2 linked regions of the Macaca fascicularis genome follow. The protein of the gene in region 1 purifies or fractionates together with the protein of each later gene. This does not show direct contact. Links are inferred from orthologs where the notes say so. Each region holds a gene or a part of one and is shown on either strand. Other genes may lie near its edges. The genes, in order: GGH and CANX.

What was found.
Region 2: the proteins of GGH (region 1) and CANX purify together in Homo sapiens (affinity purification with mass spectrometry; 3 studies listed by BioGRID and IntAct, with this or other methods). This does not show direct contact. The link is inferred for Macaca fascicularis from reciprocal best matches to the Homo sapiens genes GGH and CANX.

What each region holds. Positions count from the first base shown.
Region 1 is NC_088382.1:72,952,669-72,956,486, reverse strand, and holds part of GGH (gamma-glutamyl hydrolase), read left to right. Parts: intron 1-1,674; coding exon 1,675-1,781; intron 1,782-1,863; coding exon 1,864-1,954; intron 1,955-2,115; coding exon of another isoform or gene 2,116-2,234; exon of another isoform or gene 2,235-2,354; intron 2,355-3,818. UniProt on the Homo sapiens protein: Hydrolyzes the polyglutamate sidechains of pteroylpolyglutamates. Progressively removes gamma-glutamyl residues from pteroylpoly-gamma-glutamate to yield pteroyl-alpha-glutamate (folic acid) and free glutamate.
Region 2 is NC_088380.1:186,599,347-186,603,164, forward strand, and holds part of CANX (calnexin), read left to right. Parts: intron 1-507; coding exon 508-634; intron 635-1,938; coding exon 1,939-2,018; intron 2,019-3,818. UniProt on the Homo sapiens protein: Calcium-binding protein that interacts with newly synthesized monoglucosylated glycoproteins in the endoplasmic reticulum. It may act in assisting protein assembly and/or in the retention within the ER of unassembled protein subunits.

The sequences.
Region 1 (3,818 bases):
TTTGAGTCCTAGTTTTCTCACTTTGACCTTGAGGAATCATTTTTACCCCTGAGGTTCAGTGTCCTCATTTGCAAAAGGGTCTAACGCTTAGGGGTTTTTTGTGTGTGAGAATTAAATAAGTTTTTTTTTTTTTTTTTTTTTTTTTTAAGACAGAGTCTGTCACTCTGGAGCGCAGTGACGCAATCTTGGCTCACAGCAACCTCCACCTCCAGGGTTCAAGGGATTCTCCTGCCTCAGCCTCCTGAGTGGCTGGGACTACAGGCGCCCCACCACACCTGGCTGAATTTTGTGTTTTTAGTAGAGACAAGGTTTCACCATGTTGGCCAGGCTGGTCTCAAACTCCTGACCTCTGGTGATCCGCCCACCTTGGCCTCCCAAAGTGCTGGGATTAGAGGATCCACCGGGAAGCGCTGTATTTACTCAGCAACCAGGAACTCCAGTGAGTTTTGGTGTCTAGAGTTTTTACTGGAATGTTGTTATGAAATAATTGATTGAATCATTGCCTATGTGACTGAACTCAAATCTCCAGCCCCTCTTTCATACTTGGAGATTGATTGGGCTGGCTCGAAGTTTCAACTTTCTGATCATGAAGTTAGTGTTTCTAATGATTAGTCTTCATCCTGAAATATTTGAGGGACCCACCTTGAATTACCACATTAGCATAACAAAAATACTTTTATCACTCCAGGAATTCTAAGGGTTTTAGAAGCTTCCTGTCAGGAACCCAGGACGAAGACCAGAAAGATTCTTAATGATACCACTCTGTATAAGTAGATAATGATTGTTGTTGGTTACTTGATCTCTGAATGCTTAGAATTGAAGCCACCAGCTATTTCTGTTCTCTTGAGGATTTTGCAAGGAAAGTAGCAGTCATACTTAAAACCTATAGAATGCTTTATGCTTTTGAAAGCTCTTTCTTCCATTGTCTCACTTAATAATTGCAAAAACCCAGTGGGAAGTACATGTATTAGGTCAGAGTACTTTGGTTCTGTTGCCAGAACCCAGTTTATACAGAAAAGGAATGTTTCAGGGAGCTGCGATTTTCATGGAAGTCTCTAGCAAGAATAAGGGGCCTGGTTTGCAACAGCTGGCACTATCACCTTGAAAACGTCAGTTTCTTTTTTTCAAAATCTGTTTGTTGGTGTTTGAGTCTGTGCAGCACCTTCAGTGTTGACCACTAAGATATATTGCTTTTTGATCTGTTTACTGAGTCAAAATTTCTTGGCTTGGTTCGTGTTCTTTTCTACATTGTTTTTATTTTTATTTGTTTGTCCCAGATACTTCTGAAAATATGTTGAAAGTTTTGGATCCTTTCCTGGGCAAATACGTACACCCATGGAAAGTTTTAACTGTTTTTCAGAATAGTCTGTGGAAATCTAGTTAAGATTCCCTGCCTGTTCTATAGCTTGCCAATACTCATATCAGAAGAATTTTACTTATTCATGTTAAAATTCTAGAAGAAAATTACTTATATCTGGAGCATATTTGAGTTTATGTTAAACACATTTTGTAACTTGATTGGAATACTTCTATGGAAATGATGCGTTTTGCTTATCATTTAGTCATCTTGATTATATCTTCATAATGGCTTCTCTTTGGGTGCAGATAAGCGATTTCAGTGGATTTTATTTTTTGTGTGTTTAAATTATTTCTCTTGTACTTAAATTATTTCAGGTCAATTACACAGCAGAATGTTCCAGAATTTTCCTACTGAGTTGTTGCTGTCGTTAGCAGTAGAACCTCTGACTGCCAATTTCCATAAGTGGAGCCTCTCCATGAAGGTATCACACTAATTACACAATGAAATTAATATGTTTAGAATAACTGCAGAAGTAATCATTTTGTTTTGTTTTCGTATTCTAGAATTTTACGATGAATGAAAAGTTAAAGAAGTTTTTCAGTGTCTTAACTACAAATACAGATGGCGAGATTGAGTTTATTTCATCAATGGAAGGTATATCACTATAGCATGTACACTTTATTTCATTTATTTTATATTTTTGAGTTTTGATTTTGTATGTCTTAAAATCATGTTACTTTGGGGCCTGAAGATGGATGTTAGGGCATTTTCGGAGACAGGAGACGTGTTTTGTCCGTGTTTCAAATTAATTGCAGTTTTCCTGGGTATTTTCCTGAATGAAGTGGTGAAGAAGAAACGTAAAAGAATAAAGGGGGTGGAGATGAAGAAAGAAATGAAGAAAATGACTTCTGTTTCTGGCAATATTGCAGATTAAATAACTTGATAGACTTTCCTCCAGCCAACAACAAAATAAATGTGGGTGATAATAGAAAAACATAGTAAATACGCTGATGAATTGGCAAACAAATAAAGATACTCAGGTTCAAAATTTTAAGAGTTGAATGGAATATTTAAACCAGTGTTGTTATTGAATCAGGAGAACTTGAGACAGTCAGGACCCTCTACATGGAGCAGGACTTGGAAGGCTATACCTGCAATGTCAGGCTGAACTCAAAATACAGCTGGAATCCGCCCTACAGAATGGCAAGGAGAATAGCCCATCCTGAGCCTTGGGGCTAAGGGAGTGGGGTGGGGGTCAGTGAATAAAGCCTTGAATGTTTATAATGATGGGCTGTTCTCCTAGTGTGGCCAGCATTATACTAACTGGGAAGTTGGACAAATCTTAAGTAATTTTGTTCAGGGTTGTCTCAGACTGGTAATGCCCTCACATGTGACGCTGAAGCAAATGTAAATAATTATTTTGAGAGGACCAGAGGTTCATCCCAGGCTTCACGGAATTTCCATATATGAAGTTTGAAGGAAAATGAACACTTCACAGCCAAAATACTACTAATGTACAAGCAAGCAAAGTACTGTGAATGAGAACTTGCAGAGATAACAGATGTGGAAGCAGACCTGCATAAATGTTAGATATTAGTATTATGAGATAAAGTATAATATATTTTAAGTTTTAAAGAAAGAAATAAGAATGCTTGCAAATATAGGCATGAAACAGTCAGATTTGAAAATAACCAAATTCAGCTATTAGAAATTATAGTTGAGGCTAGGTGTGGTGGCTCACACCTGTAATCCCAGCACTTTGAGAGGCCGAGGCGGATCACCTGAGGTCAGAAGTTCAAGACCAGCCTGGCCAACGTGGTGAAATCCCATCTCTACTAAAAATACAAAAAAAAAAAAAAAAAAGGCCGAGCATAGTGGCACGTGCCTGTAGTCCCCTACTTGGAGGTTGCAGTGAGTCGAGACTATGCCACTGCACTCCAGCCTGGATGACAGAGCGAGACTCTGTTTCCAAAAAAAAAAGAAGAAATTGTAATTGAAATAAAACCCTCAGTAGACATGTTAATCAGAAGGTTAGACACAGTTGAGGAGAAATTAATGAACTAGAATAGAAGATAGATGTGAAGGAAACATTCAGAATCCAACATAGCCAGACATGTAAACGTAAATGCCAAATGTGTCAGAAGAAAGGTGGGAATCTGGAGGGTAAAGTGATTTCTTACATACCTAACCAGAACTCTTGAAGGAATGGGAAAAAGTAGGGCAGAGACAGACTCTTTTTTCTGTGTTTAAAAAAAAAAAATTCAGGTGGATAAAAGACCTAAGGAGAAAGGCACACTACAATAAGGTTTTAGAAAAAGTAAAGGAGAATTGTCTTTATGATCTTGTTTAAGGGAAGGAGTTTTGAAGACAAAATATAAACAAACCATAAAGGAAAAGATTGATGAATTCAATCAAATGAGGAAGTTGTGTTCATAAAAGGAAACAAATTACACAAGAAAAAAAGGGGAGGTATTTGTAATGCATATAACTGACAAAAGTTGTGCGTCTAGCTTACATA
Region 2 (3,818 bases), on another chromosome or scaffold:
CTATTATTTGAAATTCAGTCTTTGATTCCTCATTATCCATTTTGCCTTCACCTTCCCCACTCTGAAAACAGTATGTTGGGGTACCACAGCCTTATTGTTAGTTTTTCTTGTCTAGCCTTTTTTGCATGTGCTATCATAAAAAAAGGAAGTCTTATTTTGGCCCTCTACTTCTACTAAATGAGGATTATGCTTCATCTGGCATTCATAGCACTTTGTAACTGGATCCCAAGTTCCTTTTCCAGCCTTATCCTCTGACACTATTCTTTGTATCTGTGCCGCAGTCACCTTTTTTGACCCGTATTTTCCTGTCTGGCCCTTTTGTTTTTATTCTACCTTGAAACACGCATGTGCACACATGCTCTTCAGGGTAGGAATTACATCTTATTCGTTTTTATATATCTATCCCTGTATACAGCCTGGAACAGAACTTTGCCTGTAGGCATTCAGGAATTATATAACATAATACCTGAACATGTAAACAAAATTGTACTTTGGGGAACATTTCAGAAACAGACCAGTGCTATGGAGTATAAGAAAACTGATGCACCTCAGCCGGATGTGAAGGAAGAGGAAGAAGAGAAGGAAGAGGAAAAGGACAAGGGAGATGAGGAGGAGGAAGGAGAAGAGAAACTTGGTAAGAAATAGAGTCCAGAAAATCTGCTTTAAGCCAAGACCCTACGATGTCGTTAAACCTTTACAGTCAAGTTAAAGATTGTTTTTAGCCAGGCATGGTGGCTCAAGCCTGTAATCCTAGCACTTTGGGAGGTTGCAGCAGGAAAATCGCTTGAGCCCAGGAGTTTAAGGCTGTAGTCAGCCAGGATAGTGCCACTGTACTCCAGCTGAGCAACAGAGTGAGGTCCTCTCTCTCTCTTTTTTATGTTTATTTTGTATGTATGTATGTATGTATTTATTTATTTTGAGATGAAGTCTCGCTCTGTTGCCCAGGCTGGAGTGCAGTGGTGCGATCTCGGCTCACTGCACGCTCCGCCTCCTGGGTTGACACCATTCTCCTGCCTCAGCCTCCCAAGTAGCTGGGACTATAGGCGCCCGCCACTATGCCTGGCTAACTTTTTTGTATTTTTAGTAAAGACAGGGTTTCGCCGCATTATCCAGGATGGTCTCGATCTCCTGACCTCATGATCCACCCACCTCGGCCTCCCAAAGTGCCAGGATTACAGACGTGAGCCACTGCGCCCATCCTCTGTTTTTATTTTTTAAGACATGGTCCCACTCTGTCACTCAGGTTGGAATGCAATGGCACAATCACAGTTCACCACAGCCTCGAACTTATAGGCTCAAGTGATCCTCCTACCTCAGCCTCCCCCGTCCCCAAGTAGCTGGGACCACATGCCCAGCTGATTTATTATTTATTTATTTATTTGATGTGGTCTGGCCCTGTTGCCTAGGCTGGAGTGCAGTGGTGTGATCTTGGTTCACTGCAGCCTTTGCCTCCCGGATTCAAGCGATTCTCCCACCTGGGCCTCCCAAAGTGTTGGGATTACAGGCGTGAGCCACCACACCCAGCGAGATCCTGTCTCTTAAAAAAAAAATTATTGACCAGGCACGGTGGTTCACACCTGTAATTCCAGCACTTTGGGAGGCTGAGGCGAGTGGATCATGAGGTCAGGAGATCGAAACCATCCTGGCTAACACGGTAAAACCCCGTCTCTTCTAAAAATACAAAAATTTAGCCGGGCGTGGTGGCGGGTGCCTGTAGCCCCAGCTCCTTGGGAGGCTGAGGCAGGAGAACCGCTTGAACCTGGAGGCAGAGGTTGCAGTGAGCTGAGATCGCGCCACTGCACTCCAGCCTGGGTTGACAGAGCGAAACTCCGTCTCAAGAAAAAAAAAAGTGTTGTAGATCTAGAGATTTGTTCTAATGCTAATGTGTAATCACCAAAAATAGTCAGGTTTTGCTCAGTTGTTTAACTTTTGTCTCAGAAGAGAAACAGAAAAGTGATGCTGAAGAAGATGGTGGCACTGTCAGTCAAGAGGAGGAAGACAGAAAACCTAAAGCAGAGGTAAAGGAAAGGGGTCACACATTCTGTTTTTCCAAGTTTAAGGTACATTTATTTAAAGGGAATATTTTAATAGGGTAGTTTACAGTGGCTTATGGCAGTAAAAATTCTGTTAAAACCAATTTTGTTGAAGTGGAATTCTTTGTGATACTGGTCAGTGTTTTGTTTGATAATCTGAAGCTACGTCTGCCTCTCCAAAGTATCTTTTTAGCTGAAAATGATTTTCTGGAATAAGCAGAAGGTTGTAGGGGGATAATAAAATGCTTGCTAAGAAGGAAACTTCGGGTCATTAACAGTCTATTTGCCTCTCCTCACAGTGCCCTGAAAAGTATTTCTTATACAAATCACTGTGTTCTAAACTTTTTGTCCCCGTTATCCATAGATTGGTTCATTCATTCATTTACCTGATGTGTGTTGAGTGCCCATTTTGTTGCAGGCATTGTCAGTGAATAAGACAGACAAAGATACCCTGCCTTTAGGGAGCTGATATTCTACTTGGGGGAAACAGGCAGTGAGCAGTAAACATTGTAAGGAAGTAAACAACACAGCATATTAGGAAGTGAGAAACTATGAAAAATTAAAACAGGAAAAAGTATTAAAAGTGCTAGAGGTAGGGCGGGTCACCATGTTAAAAACCTTACTCGAAAGATGACACTGGACCAAAGACTTGAAAGAGATAGAGAACTTTTCCATGGGGATGTAAGTGGGAAGAGCATTCCAGGCAGAGAGAACAGCCAGTATTGAGAGCCTAAAGTGGTCTACAAAGCCAGTATTGTGAGTGGACAGACAGAGTGGAGAAGAGAAGGGTGGAGAAGGCTCCGGGTTAGACAGGCTGTTGTGTGGACTTGGCTTTCCCTCCTAGTGAAGCAGGCAACCATCACAGGCTACTGGACACAGTTGTCACAGGATGATGACTATCTGCTGTGTTTCCTATATACCAGTGAGAATCAGGGAGACCAGTTAGGAGGTTCCTGTAATCATCTAGGAAAGATATGGTGGCCCCAAAAAGGGTGACAGGAGAGGAACAGAGGGTATGAGAACTAGTTGGGGTTCTGGATCTTGGTTTTGTGGTGGATTGGATAGATATATAGAGTATGAGAGAAAGGGAACAGTCATTGTACCATTGCCCACTAAAGTCCTTCCCCCAGCACCTCTGTGTCTCAGTCTGGTCTCTCCTGGAAAGCTCTTCTCAGGTTTTACTTCCAGCTACAACTCTGCCTTCCTATTAATAAAGGTCATTGCTATCTGTATCTTTTGTATATTTTCAATGGATATGTTCTGTCTTAACTAGAATGCAGTTCTTTTTTTTTTTTTTTTTTTTTTTTTGAGACGGAGTCTCGCTCTGTCACCCAGGCTGGAGTGCAGTGGCCGGATCTCAGCTCACTGCAAGCTCCGCTTCCCGGGTTTACGCCATTCTCCTGCCTCAGCCTCCCCAGTAGCTGGGACTACAGGCGCCCGCCACCTCGCCCGGCTAGTTTTTTGTATTTTTTAGTAGAGACGGGGTTTCACCGTATTAACCAGGATGGTCTCGATCTCCCGACCTCGTGATCCGCCCGTCTCGGCCTCCCAAAGTGCTGGGATTACAGGCTTGAGCCACCGCGCCCAGCCCTAGAATGCAGTTCTTAAAAGTAGAGACCATGTTTCCCCCAAACTCCCTCACATGTTAAAAAGTTGCTGGCGCATTTAAAAAAAAAAAGGAGTATTTTCATAGGGTAATTTACAATCTTAGCAACTTGTGATAGAGTACAAAGAGCAGCAGCCTTGGAGTCAGTCTACTTGGATAGTCTTCCATCTTCATGAATC